Linked DNA regions of Saccharomyces cerevisiae S288C. The gene in region 1 interacts genetically with each later gene. Each region holds a gene or a part of one and is shown in the gene's direction. Other genes may lie near its edges.

Evidence for each region.
Region 2: mutations in HUR1 (region 1) and MMS1 together harm fitness more than expected from each alone (negative genetic interaction), as found in Saccharomyces cerevisiae (4 studies listed by BioGRID, with this or other methods).

What each region holds. Positions count from the first base shown.
Region 1 is NC_001139.9:183,012-190,479, forward strand, and holds HUR1 (Hur1p), read left to right. Parts: upstream 1-4,452; coding exon 4,453-4,785; downstream 4,786-7,468. Other genes in the region: RNA-dependent ATPase ROK1, read left to right, coding at 1-1,073; SPO74 (Spo74p), read right to left, coding at 1,142-2,383; SUA5 (threonylcarbamoyladenylate synthase), read left to right, coding at 3,048-4,328; Ca(2+)/Mn(2+)-transporting P-type ATPase PMR1, read right to left, coding at 4,605-7,457.
Region 2 is NC_001148.4:868,962-875,426, forward strand, and holds MMS1 (Mms1p), read left to right. Parts: upstream 1-1,741; coding exon 1,742-5,965; downstream 5,966-6,465. Other genes in the region: TIF3 (Tif3p), read right to left, coding at 1-994; Rho family GTPase RHO1, read left to right, coding at 6,407-6,465. UniProt on the Saccharomyces cerevisiae protein: Component of multiple cullin-RING-based E3 ubiquitin-protein ligase complexes (CRLs), which mediate the ubiquitination of target proteins. The CRL associates with CDC34 as the E2 ubiquitin-conjugating enzyme.

The sequences.
Region 1 (7,468 bases):
TTTTTATTGAATGTTTTAAGCTATCTTACAAGATATTTTTGGAGAAAAAAAGGCCTCTGCAAGTTGCACTCTTATCTAAATCTTTAGGCGCTAAATTGAAAAACAAGGTAGTTAGTGATAAGAAATATGATATAATCATTTCTACCCCATTAAGACTAATCGATGTTGTGAAAAACGAAGCTCTCGATCTCTCCAAAGTTAAGCATTTGATATTTGATGAAGCTGATAAATTGTTTGACAAAACATTCGTTGAACAGAGTGACGATATTTTGAGCGCCTGTAGAGAGCCATCGTTGCGTAAAGCGATGTTTTCTGCGACCATTCCATCCAATGTAGAAGAGATTGCACAAAGTATAATGATGGATCCTGTTAGAGTTATTATTGGCCACAAGGAAGCAGCAAATACAAATATTGAACAAAAATTAATATTTTGTGGTAATGAAGAGGGTAAACTAATTGCTATTAGACAACTCGTTCAAGAGGGTGAGTTCAAGCCACCGATCATAATATTTTTAGAGTCTATTACAAGAGCAAAAGCGTTATATCATGAATTGATGTACGATAGGATTAACGTAGATGTGATTCATGCAGAAAGAACAGCCTTACAAAGAGACAGGATTATTGAACGATTTAAAACTGGTGAATTATGGTGTTTGATCTGTACCGACGTTTTAGCTCGTGGTATTGACTTCAAAGGTGTCAATCTGGTCATCAATTATGACGTTCCAGGATCGTCTCAGGCTTATGTTCACAGAATTGGTAGAACAGGTAGAGGTGGGCGGTCAGGTAAAGCTATCACATTCTATACTAAACAAGACTCAGTAGCTATTAAACCAATAATAAATGTCATGAAACAAAGTGGTTGTGAAGTATCTGAGTGGATGGATAAAATGGCTAAAATGACCAGAAAGGAGAAAGAAAGTATAAAAAACGGTAAAGCGCATAAAGAAAGAAAGCAGATTACTACTGTGCCTAAGATGGATAAGGCCAAAAGAAGACGTCAACAAGAAATGATTGCAGCATCCAAAAGAAGAAAAAATGAAGAACTTTCAAAAAAACATTTCTCGAAATAATATAAACAAACGTGCGTATGCAAGACATGTATATATGATTAGTAGTTTTTTTTATTTACTTTCATTGATCAATTACGTGACCAGCTATACATTTCTTCATTACTTCTTCTGGGCATTCTATTTAAATCGATATTTCCAAACGACTTTGTCATTGCTGCATAACCCTTTTGATAACTATCGTTTAACCCCACACCTCTGTAAGATTTCGATTCCACTCCATTATGTATATTTCTTCCAGAGTTAAAATGCTGCTTGTAATCTGAATTTTTTCTCTGGAATAGAAGTTCATTTTGATTTTCAAATGACATAAAAGGTTTTGTTTGATGTATATTGTTAGGGTGGAAAAAATAGGGTGTTCCACCAGTTATGGAGTTTTGTAGTTCTGCTTTTTCTCCCCAAAAATTTGATGTATTGGACGTGAAATCATAGGTTTCCTCGAAAGACTTTCCGTTTCTTTTCAATCCTAATGGGGGAGAAGGGCGGTTATCTATTGGCAAAAGTGGATTTCTAAAATCCCTAATGGAAGGTAAATTTTGACTTTCAGGTTGATTGGAGAATCTACGAACTGCTAGCTCTCTATTTAGCAAAGAGTTTTCTTGCATATGAAAGAAGTTTAAATCATTCAAAAGTTCCCCCAAAATTTTGAGCTCATATTCTTCATCCAAGTCAATATCTCTGTATTCCAAGAATTTCTTTTGCATTTGAACTGCGTCGTCAAAAAATGGAACACTTGACAAGCAAATGTCAATCTCTTTTTTAATGTATGTAAGCAAGTTGGTTTTTAGAAAACTCACCTCTAATTGTGTTTTGGTAAACGCTGTTGTGGCAGCTGAATACTCGGTTGGAGCTGAATTTGGCCTCTGTCCCTTGTATGGTGAAGTGGAAATATTCAATTCCATGACCGGTTCCTTTATTTCTTCTAATCCGCTTGTAAAATGAAAGGGCTGCATGTGTTTAGTTTTGTAACCTTCTGTATTACACCAAAAACTTTCCCAATTTTTAAATTGACACTCTTTCAAGCTTGGACTAGAGTCCGGAGCCAGTTTTAAGCCATCATTAAAATCGTCCGTGTGTTCAGATCTTTCGTGTATATCTTTATTTTCATGGAATATGTTGCTTGCAGTCCCCATTTTAGATGACTTTTCTTCATCTTTTTGGGACTTCTGTTTTACTGGACTATTTCTTTTACTTTCCTTACTAGTATTGCCATCTTCTTGAGAATCCATGTTAGGATACGCAGGCAAATCTGAATGGATGTTATTTGGAAAGTTTTCCTTTTCTAATCCATTTAAAAGAGTGCCAGCTCCCATCACTCAACCAATTCAGCTCTTTCCTTGCCAATACAACATAACCGGGAAGAGTTTCAAGTTTGACTTCCAACTAAATACCTAATGTTTTATTGTTGTTATTTATATTTCTTGTGACACAAAAGAGAACATTGATGTCATTTGAGCCTTATCGTTGGAAAGGATAAATAAGCGGTTTAAAAGGATAAAAGAAGCGCAAGCAACAAATCTCAACACAAGTGTAAACCATATGAATGGGGTTAAATGCCTTCTTCTTTGAGATATAAAAAGGAAGTAGAATTTAATATATTAGACATTTTTTTGATTTGAGCCTAAAAAAGATAGCCCTGTAGGGGGCTCGAACCCCTAACCTTATGATTAAGAGTCATACGCGCTACCGATTGCGCCAACAAGGCTATTTCGTTGAAAAATTCAGGCTTCAAAATTATTATATGTATCAAAAATATTTTTTTGAGAAATTTCAAATCATTATCTACGCTAGCCTTACTATTTTTTCACCCAGAAGATAGTAACCTCATCGCACATACCTATTGAAGCTGATAATATTTGAAGCGAGAGCTTTATTCTTCTCCTCAAATTTTTTTTTTCTTCTGCGCTGTTAACTTACCACTAAACCTGTTTCCATTTTTAATGGTAGTCCTGTTTATTATTCCATTTTTAGAATTGTATGTACCTTGGACGACATTTTTTGGCAATGACATCGAAAGCACTGTTTGATACCAAGATCTTAAAAGTTAACCCGCTATCAATCATTTTCTCCCCTGATGCGCATATAGATGGTTCCTTACCAACGATAACAGATCCTGAAACGGAAGCAGCGCTAGTTGAAGCGGCGAGGATAATAAGAGATACAGATGAGACTGTGGCTTTTCCAACCGAAACTGTTTATGGTCTTGGAGGTTCTGCTTTAAATGATAATTCAGTGCTTAGTATATACAGGGCCAAAAATAGGCCTAGTGACAATCCTTTGATTACACATGTTTCATCCATTGATCAACTTAACAGAAAGGTCTTTAATCAACCGCATCTATCAGGTACATCCTTGTTTGATAACATACCCTCAATCTATCGCCCATTAATTTCAAGCCTTTGGCCTGGCCCATTAACAATTCTTTTGCCAGTTCCATCTTCAGAGCATAGTGCATTATCAAAGTTAACGACCGCAGATCAGCCTACGTTTGCGGTACGCATACCCGCTAATCCAGTGGCTAGAGCACTGATTGCCCTGAGCGATACACCAATAGCTGCTCCTTCAGCGAATGCGTCTACTAGGCCATCTCCTACTTTAGCGTCTCATGTTTATCATGATCTAAAGGATAAAATTCCCATAATTCTTGATGGCGGAGCGTGCAAGGTTGGTGTAGAAAGTACTGTTGTTGATGGGTTATGTAATCCTCCTACGCTACTGCGACCTGGCGGTTTTACATATGAAGAAATTGTTAAATTGGGTGGTGAAGCTTGGTCTCTTTGTAAAGTTGAGAATAAGAAAACAGTTGAAAAGGGCGAAAAGGTAAGAACGCCTGGTATGAAGTATAGACACTATTCCCCTTCAGCTAAAGTTGTTTTACTAGTTCCTCATTGCGAAGGCGATGGCATTCTTAAGGGCGTTGATAGGATGGAAAGATTAAAGAGGTTAATCGAAACGGAATTAAAAGCCAACAGTAATATAAAAAAAATTGCGATTTTAACTTCCCTAAAATTACGTGATTCCGACTTACAATCTAAGATCTTTAATGAACCCGATTTTTCTTCGAAAACTTTCATCATCGAAAGACTTGGCCAATCTGGTGAAGAAATACAGACTAACTTGTTTGCAGCTTTAAGAAAAGTGGATGAAAATGATAAAGTAGACCTAATATTTGTCGAAGGTATAAATGAGGAAGGAGAAGGATTAGCTGTTATGAACAGATTGCGAAAGGCGGCTGCAAATAATTGTATACAGTTTTAAATAAAACTGTGATTAACTTTTGAAAATCATAACCACTGATTACGGAGATTTTATATCTAGTCCGGAAAAAGAAGGAAAGAATAAAATTTTATATTGCTTTGTATATACGAAAAGTCGCCCATACATGTTTATCTTAGTATCCGTTGTAAATATATGTACATATATACATCTACATATGTTCCCATTAATTAGTACATTTACCTCAATAGGGTTGGGCGTCCTCATGAAAGATAAAGGGAAGGAAGGAAAAACGATAAAAGCACAAAATGTGACATATCAAACATTTGAGAAATACGTTGAGTCTTCTTCATTCTTTTTCCTCGTCCACAATTTTCTCAATTCATCAACGATGAAAACGCTACTGCTGATGAGCAATAACAATAGTATATCAGAGATACCAAGTTTCTCAGTTTTAAAGATACTTTGGAAAAATGGTATATATATAGCGCACATTTGACCTAACAGAGACAGTCCAACGGCGTAGTTGAACATTTTGTTCGTGAAAAAGCCGATTTCGAAGATTGACTTTGTGTTATGTCTGCAGGCCAAAGCATTAAACATATCAAAAAAAACAAAACAAGTAAATGTCATAGTAGTATCTCTAGCAGTTACTTTACCATCTTCGGCCATCTCTTTAACAAAAATGTAAACTGTCCCAACGATGATACAGGCCGCGGTGGTTAGTAAACGTTTCATTACATCATGGGTCAAAATTTTATCGGTACGTTTTCTTGGAGGTTTTTTCATAACTTCATGATCAACAGGTTCCACACCTAAGGATTGAGCTGGTGGCCCATCCATTAAAATATTTATCCAAAGAATTTGCATTGCGTTCAGTGGATTGGGTAGTTTAAACGCTGTAGATAGTGCAACTAATGATAGTGCGGCAACAGAAGTAGACAATTGAAAAGTCAGGAAATTCTGAATATTATTAAAGATACCTTTACCCTCTTCAATGGCAGTTAAAATAGTACTGAAGTCATCATCAGTTAAGACCATATCTGAGGCTTCTTTGGCTACATCTGTACCAATTCTACCCATAGAAACACCAATATCTGAAAGTTTCAACGCAGGAGCGTCGTTAACACCATCACCAGTCATTGCTACCACATCACCCCTCTTTCTTAATGCACGAACAATGTTTAACTTATGCTCAGGCGTAGCACGAGCAAAAATATTAACGTGGTCGATGACATTGGCCAGTTGATCATCTGACATTTCATCTAATTTATCACCGGATAAAACGGAAAGCTTTGGATCAATAACTGGAATACCAATTTGTTTTGCAATGTTTACTGCGGTATTCTCAGAATCACCAGTGATCATAATAATATGGACACCACCTTGTAGTAATTGTTCGATGGCAAATTTAACGTTCGGTCTTGGTGGGTCATTCATACCGATTAAACCAGTAAAGGTTAAATCTTTGATTAGGTCTTCGGTTAGAGGAGTTGATGAATCAGACAAAGTTAGTTTAGCAAATCCAAAGACACGCAAACCTTCAGATGCCATAGAATTTGCGCACTCATTTATCGTAGCTTTTTGGGCTTCAGTCAACTTTTCAGTTTTTTTACCCTTTGATTTCAAATAACTTGTGGAGTACTCAAGAATTCTTTCAAATGCACCTTTAACATAAACTGTACACTTATTGTCGACAGGGTTGAGAATCTTGGTTGCCATTAATTTTCTTTTCGAGTTAAATGGAAGTTCCTGAACTTTTTGAACGGTGTTTCTGATATCAGGCATTTCAAAGTTTGCCAATTGCTCTAAAAGAGCTACATCAGTAGGATTTCCCAGAAATATGGCATGTTCTTGAGAGAAAGATGCATTATTACAGAGATTACCGATAGTTAGAGTTTCCCTAACGTCTTCAGTCAAATAGTTTTTCAAATTTCCATTAGAATTTTTAGTCTTCTTATTTTTGTCTAATGAGAGGACGTTTAGCTTATTGGACATACTGTCCAAGCACCAAAGTTTAGATACGGTCATGTGGTTTGAGGTTAGTGTACCTGTTTTGTCGGAGCAGATAACGTTGACAGAGCCTAAAGTTTCGACACTTGGTAACCTTCTCACGATGGCTTTACGCTTGGCCATTCTCAGAACACCCAATGCCAAAGTAACAGTGACAATAATTGGTAACCCTTCTGGAATAGCAGCAACCGCTAAGGATACCGATATTTGGAACATTTCTAACCAAGATCTACCTTGTATGATACCAACTAAACAAATCATACCAATAACTATGAAGCTAACCAGTGACAAGTCCTTTCCCAATTTGTCCATTGTTAACTGCAATGGAGTCTTCGGTTTTTCAATATTATTCATCATTTCAAAAACGGCACCAAAGGATGTGTTTGTACCTGTTCCTACGACGATACCCTTACCATGACCTTCCTTGACTAATGTACCCATATAAGCTATACAAGATCTCTCAGAAATCGGTACAATTGAATTAGGCTGATCGTTAAAGGAAGATTTTTCGATCGTTTGTGAGGTTTTATGTACCGGTTCATTTTCACCAGTTAAATTACTTTCATCGATGGATAAATCGATTGCTTCAATAATTCTAATGTCTGCGGGGATTCTGTCACCTATTCTGAAGTGCACTAAATCACCAGGAACCAAGGTGGAAGCCAGTACATGACTCTCTTGACCACATCTCATTAAGTGACATTCAGCAGGAACCAATTTATTCAACGCTTCTAGAGATTTTTCAGACCTATATTCTTGGACAAAACCGACAGTGACAACTATGAAAATGGCCAGTGTGATACTAACAGCATCATCAATGTTACCCATAAAAAGAGAGACCACTGCGGATCCTATTAAAAGTAGAATCATTCGATCCTCAATGAAATTTGACAAGAACTTCTTGAAAAGACTTTCATCATCTTCTACGGTTATTTCATTGGGGCCATAAAGTGATCTCCTATTGTTGGCCTCGTTAGATGATCGTAAACCACCGTTTTTGTCAGTGTCCAGTTTTTCTAGAGCTTCGTCCACGGATAAAGTACAATACTCTAAAGAAGGGCTTGGTTTCGAAAGGGCCTCTGCTGTGGCATCTAGTATTTCTCTCTCACGGTTTGAGTCCTCGTCAAGAAGACTCGCATTAAATGGATTGTCACTCATAATTATCTTAT
Region 2 (6,465 bases), on another chromosome or scaffold:
CTCTTCTTGGTGGTCTTGAGGAGCTTTGGAAGTTGGAACCTCTGGCTGCACTCCAGTCAATATCTGGCTCTTCTCTTTCTCTTCTTGGTGGCCTCGAGGAGCTTTGAAAGTTAGAGCCTCTAGCTGCACTCCAGTCAATATCTGGCTCTTCTCTTTCTCTTCTTGGTGGTCTGGAAGAGCCTTGGAAATTGGAGCCTCTTGCAGCGCTCCAGTCGATATCAACTTCTTCTCTTTCTCTTCTTGGTGGTCTGGAAGAGCCTTGGAAATTGGAACCTCTTGCAGCAGTCCAGTCAATATCAACTTCTTCTCTTTCTCTTCTTGGACCTCTGAAGTTAGAACCTCTAGCGGCACCCCAATCAAGATCTGGTGCATCTTCTCTTCCATCACCTTGGAAATTGGAGCCTCTAGCACTACTCCAATCAACATCTGCACCTCCCCCTCTTCTTGGAGCCGCAACAGAAACGTAAACAGTTCTCTCATTCAATTTAGTACCGTTGAACTTCAGAACGGCGACCAAATCTGCTCTTTCTTTCAAAGTAACGAAAGCATTACCCTTTAATCTTGTTGGGTCTCTTAGATTCTTTGGCAAAACAACTTCTTCAACCGCTTCAGGCTTAACTAAACCATCTTCAACCCAGGCTTGAACACCCTCTGGGGTAATATCCCATGGAATGTTGTTTATGACAGCCCTATATGGTGGAGCATCTGGAACAGGGTATTCCTCTCTTCTATCGGAAGAACCGCCCCCCAAAGCAGGGTCTAATCTAGATCTACCTCCAAAACTGCCACCAAAGCCGCCTGAACGCGTGTTATTGCTGTTGTTTTTAGCATGAGCCAATTCGGACAATGGAATAGTGTTTGCATTAGCGGTTTCAATAGGAATTGTGATCTTATTCAAATCGACATCTTCTTCAGCCCAAGATGAACCAAAGGTGTCATCATTTAAAAATGACGTAAGGTCCATCTTCTTTACGGTTTTCTTTGGTGGAGCCATGATGTGTCCTTTTTATTATGGTATTATTTTCCTAAAGACAGATGAAAGCTAATATAAACTCGAGTTTTATGATAATCCCGCTTATTGGTCTACTGATCTTCTCTAACTCTGTAGTTATATCTATCTCTTCTGCTTCTATTTCTGCTTTTCTTTAGCGATGCTGATTTCCGCAAAAAAATTTTCATTCCGTGGTGCGTGATCTGATGAGAAATAAAGCCAAAAAGAAAAAAAGACAAGAAGACAAAAAGGTTGGGCGGCTAAGTAGCGCCAGGATATAAAAAGCAACATAGATTTCAGTACCCTATTATCCTGCCAAAATTTACTTTAAGAAGTCTCTATGAATATACAGGCTAAATTTGGAAACATGAGAAAGGAAAGATGAAGATACAAAGATTGCAAGCAGTCAAGAAGATTTAGGAAAAAAGGAAAAAGCAAAAAATATCGATTTTTATGACTTACAAACTAAATTGATATGTTCGAAATAATTTTGAGAAGCTGAGCTCAATCTGGTACTAATCACTTCAAGTTAGATGTGCAAAGAAAGAGAATAGCATAAATTCAAAACCAAAGGAAGTGCGAGGCATTACCCGCATATTATCGGGAAACAGAAGCCATGTTAGAGTGATTTCCAACAAATGGCCCTTTGCCAGAGATGGGCTCTGCAAAAGAATTGGAAGAAGAGAAGAAATCGCTTCACATTCCGTTTCGTTTCTGGGTCTAATTAAAGTAGTACGGTGTCAATTAGGTATGCTAGGTTTGCGAACTCATGGTTTAGACAGGTATGAACATTATATTCGTCGCCCGTCGGATTTTGGCAAACTTGAGCTGCAAGATTGGTTGAATCATAAGTCATTCCGAGTTTCCCCCAATTTATTAATTGATTCAAGCACCACACGTGAGTGGAATGAACCTGAGCTTTTTTATCAAAATACCGAGGATGAAACTTGGGTGAGACCTTGTGTAGGGCCAAAGCTAGAACCATCAATGATGATGCTCAGATATCACGATTCGAATATTGGTCAAATGCCTCAATTTTGTTATCCAATCTCAAGTCCGATAAATTTTAAACCAGTATTAAAATACATTTTGCAAGAACGTTCTGAACTGTCAGACGGCTTCCCTCAAAAGTATAACACACTAATAGGTAGTCTTTTTGACATTGATAAAAACCCAGAAACCTTAGATGATTCAGATATAGAAGCATTGGATGACATAGAAATGAGCAGTGACAGCGGTAATGTTAAAGAACCAAAAATTGAATTGCAGGCGCTGGAAGAAATCCAACAAAAGCATTTCAGTTTAATAGTATCCAACAATGGAATCTTTCAAACAGGTAGCACTTCAATAACATACATACAGTCTGGCATATCTGGCAGCATAGCTATAAAACCCAACAACGTTGCAATTTTAATATTACTCACTCAACCAAGTGGTCACTTATTGTCTATTTTACCGCTTGATGACGGTAAAGAGACATATTTGCTACAATATTGGAACCTGGGACAAAAAGGTCAGTGGAACATAATCAAGCACCAAAACGAGAAGCAGTTTGTTCTTATACATAAGGAACTAGGCATTTGCAAATTTTTTGAATTCCATTTACCATTTACTTTTCAATTAGTAAACAATTTAACATTGACCGATTCCGTGATTATGAACGGATCCTTTTTCCCAACAAATTACACTGATTTAGATCCCTATTTCATTATATTTATAACAGCCATAAGATATGAAAGGATAGTCTACTTTGTCATAGAATGGAACAACAACGAAATAAAGAAAAAAGAGGTATATCAATTGACAGTATTTGATGGTGAGAAGACTAATATGACAATACCCATTGGACTAAATGCATGTTTAGTCGAAACACCCCTAAAGTTCTCTTTAGTTTCTGCAAATCAAATTATGTCAGGAGAGACTGAATTCCACTCATTCCAATTGAAGGCTCTCAAGGGAATCAAGTCATTTTTTCCAGCTCCTTTATTGTTATTAAAATTACAAGAACTACACCCACATACATTTAAAAAATTCCAATATTGTACCATAATATCCTCCTCGACAGGAAATATTTGTTTTTGCGTCACCGAACGATCGACAATAGTAAATGGTAATTTAAAATTTTACGAGCTAACTAGGTTCAAAGGATTGAAATCCATTTCACCACTACCTTCAAATCCGATAAATTTAGACTCCAGATCCTCAAGTTATGTACTGGTGGTCATAAGTTTTAGTAGAACATTAGAGCTAACATTATCTCTAGAAGATTTGAGATGTTTAGATAAAAAAGACGTTATTAAGCCTTTGAAAAATATCACCTTCAAGCACACAATTGATAGTTCCACAGAGGAGAACTCTCAAATTTTAGCATTTACGTCTTCTAAATTTTATAACACACACACAGGCTCTAACATCAATGACACGAGAAATTCTCAAGTTTGGCTTACCTCACCAAATGCAATAACTCAACCTTGCATTGATTATAAACTCAGGAAAACTCATCAACTTATCCACTTAAAGCAATTTCAAATTTTTAGACATCTTAGGATATGGAAATGTAAGAACCTTGATATTGCTCTGTTACAGAGACTTGGAATAAACCAGTCAAATACCGAAAGTTCGTTAATTTTTGCGACCGACGCTGTTTCTAACAACAGAATATTTTTATTAGATTTAACTATGACAACGACAATCGATAATGATGATCCCGTTCAAGGACTGATAAATATAGAAGATTTACTATGTGATACTGAAAACGAAACTATCCTTCTAAATTTTACGAAAAATAACTTGATTCAAGTAACTAGGGATACGATATACATCGATCCCATTGGTGGGGACAAAGAGTTGCGTAAGATTTCTCCAGGTTGGGAATTCGAAAACGTTACATACAATGATGGTATTTTAATAGTTTGGAATGCTGGGCTTGGCTGTGTCTCTTATATTGAAAATATAGACGCTGTTGATGAGTCTGGCGCCTTAGTTTCAAACTTAAGCAGCAGCAAAGGCATGAGCAAGTTCTTCAAGCAGTTAGGAACTGTCACGAGTGTCAATTTTCAAATCAAAGAGTCTACAGATGATCCAACCAAGTATGACATTTGGATCCTTTTACCAGACTGTGTCATTCGTACACCCTTTTCTGACTGGATTAGTGATTCACTTGATTTTTCTGATGTGTATATTTTGAGTGTTCAGCAGGCGTTAATAAACGGCCCTTATTTTTGCTCTCTCGATTATGAATCATATTTTGAGGTGCACACTTTACAGAACAACTGCTTCAAAAAAGGATCCAGATGTACAAGCAGAGTTAATTTTCAAGGGAAAGATATTAAATTTAGAAGCTTTGGTGTGAATCAATGTTTGGCATTTAGTGCATTTGAAATTTTTGTCATCAATTTAACGCCAATTCACGACAGTAGAGAATTGGATTTTTACAAGCTAAAATTACCGCACCTAGGTAATAACAATTCAATTCTTGAAGTCTGTCCGGACATAGAAAACAACCAATTATTCATACTCTACTCTGATGGCTTAAGAATCCTCGAACTATCATACCTAACATCAAATAATGGAAATTTCTTATTAAAATCTACAAGAAGCAAAAATAAGAAATTTTTATATCTAGACAAAATAAATCGAATGCTGGTATTGAATCAGGACTTGAGGGAATGGGAGTGTATTAGACTATCAGATGGTAAGGCAGTTGGTTTAGATTCTCAACTTCTTAAGGATGATTCTGAAGAAATCCTAGAAATAAAGGAATTACCAATAGCAACAGAGGACAATCCTTTAGAAAAGAAAACTGTATTATTGATCTCTTTTACTAGCTCATTAAAACTAGTTTTATTAACTGCTGCAAAAAACAAAATTTCCAATCAAATAATAGATTCGTATAAACTTGACAATTCAAGACTCCTCAATCATTTGGTCATTACTCCCAGAGGTGAAATATTCTTTCTGGATTATAAAGTTATGGGCACCGATAACGAAATGTCCTTTAACAAGTTGAAAGTCACAAAACATTGCATTGACCAGGAGGAGAGAAATAATACGACTTTGCGGCTCACTTTGGAAACCCGGTTTACATTTAAGAGTTGGAGTACAGTTAAGACGTTTACTGTAGTAGGCGATAATATCATTGCTACCACAAATATGGGCGAAAAGCTCTACTTGATTAAGGATTTCTCTTCATCATCTGACGAATCGAGAAGGGTGTATCCCTTGGAAATGTATCCTGATTCAAAAGTTCAAAAGATAATACCATTAAATGAATGCTGCTTTGTTGTTGCCGCTTACTGTGGAAATAGGAACGATTTAGATTCAAGATTAATTTTTTACTCTTTACCCACCATCAAAGTTGGGCTTAATAACGAAACAGGCAGCCTACCAGATGAATATGGGAATGGGAGAGTCGACGACATATTCGAGGTTGACTTTCCTGAAGGATTTCAATTTGGCACTATGGCTTTGTATGATGTTTTACATGGTGAGAGGCACGTAAATCGTTACAGCGAAGGCATACGGTCGGAGAATGACGAAGCAGAGGTTGCCCTAAGGCAGCGTAGAAATTTACTACTCTTTTGGCGAAACCACTCTTCTACACCAAAACCTTCACTACGCCGAGCCGCCACTATAGTATATGAGGATCATGTATCATCCCGTTATTTTGAGGATATAAGTTCTATATTAGGAAGCACTGCAATGAGAACTAAAAGACTATCTCCCTATAATGCGGTAGCATTGGACAAGCCTATTCAAGATATTAGTTACGATCCCGCAGTACAAACTTTATATGTGCTAATGGCAGATCAAACAATTCACAAATTCGGCAAGGACAGGTTGCCTTGCCAGGACGAATACGAACCAAGATGGAATTCTGGCTATTTGGTTTCAAGAAGGTCAATAGTTAAATCTGACCTCATCTGTGAGGTTGGGTTATGGAACCTTAGCGATAACTGCAAGAACACAGTATAATTCCCTCATTTCCAATAACATTGTCGCTGATAAAATCGTGATTCTCGATCAATGTGCTACGCGTCGTGCAGCGTGACAAGGGGCTAAAAAAAGATACAAGAATTCTTGTTGTTTCCAATTTGCTTCGCCTCAGAAAAAAAAATAAACAGATTATACAATTTTTGTTTGATTTGTATTGGGTACTACATGTTTTAGTAGTTGATACAAATACTTCTTTATCCTAATCGTATATATTTATTTTACCAGCAGGAATTCGTCTTTAATATCGTTTCGACCATCGATCATTCCTCTGAGTATTGCAAAAACATTTTTGGAACAACCCAAACTTAAAGTTACAAAACTCAAAAAAGGAACAAAATTAATAAAACAAAAGAATCGCTGTTAGAGGTTTATTGTTGCACTAATAGAAAATCATAGAACTTTAAAAATTATACTAGAAAGATGTCACAACAAGTTGGTAACAGTATCAGAAGAAAGCTGGTAATCGTTGGTGATGGTGC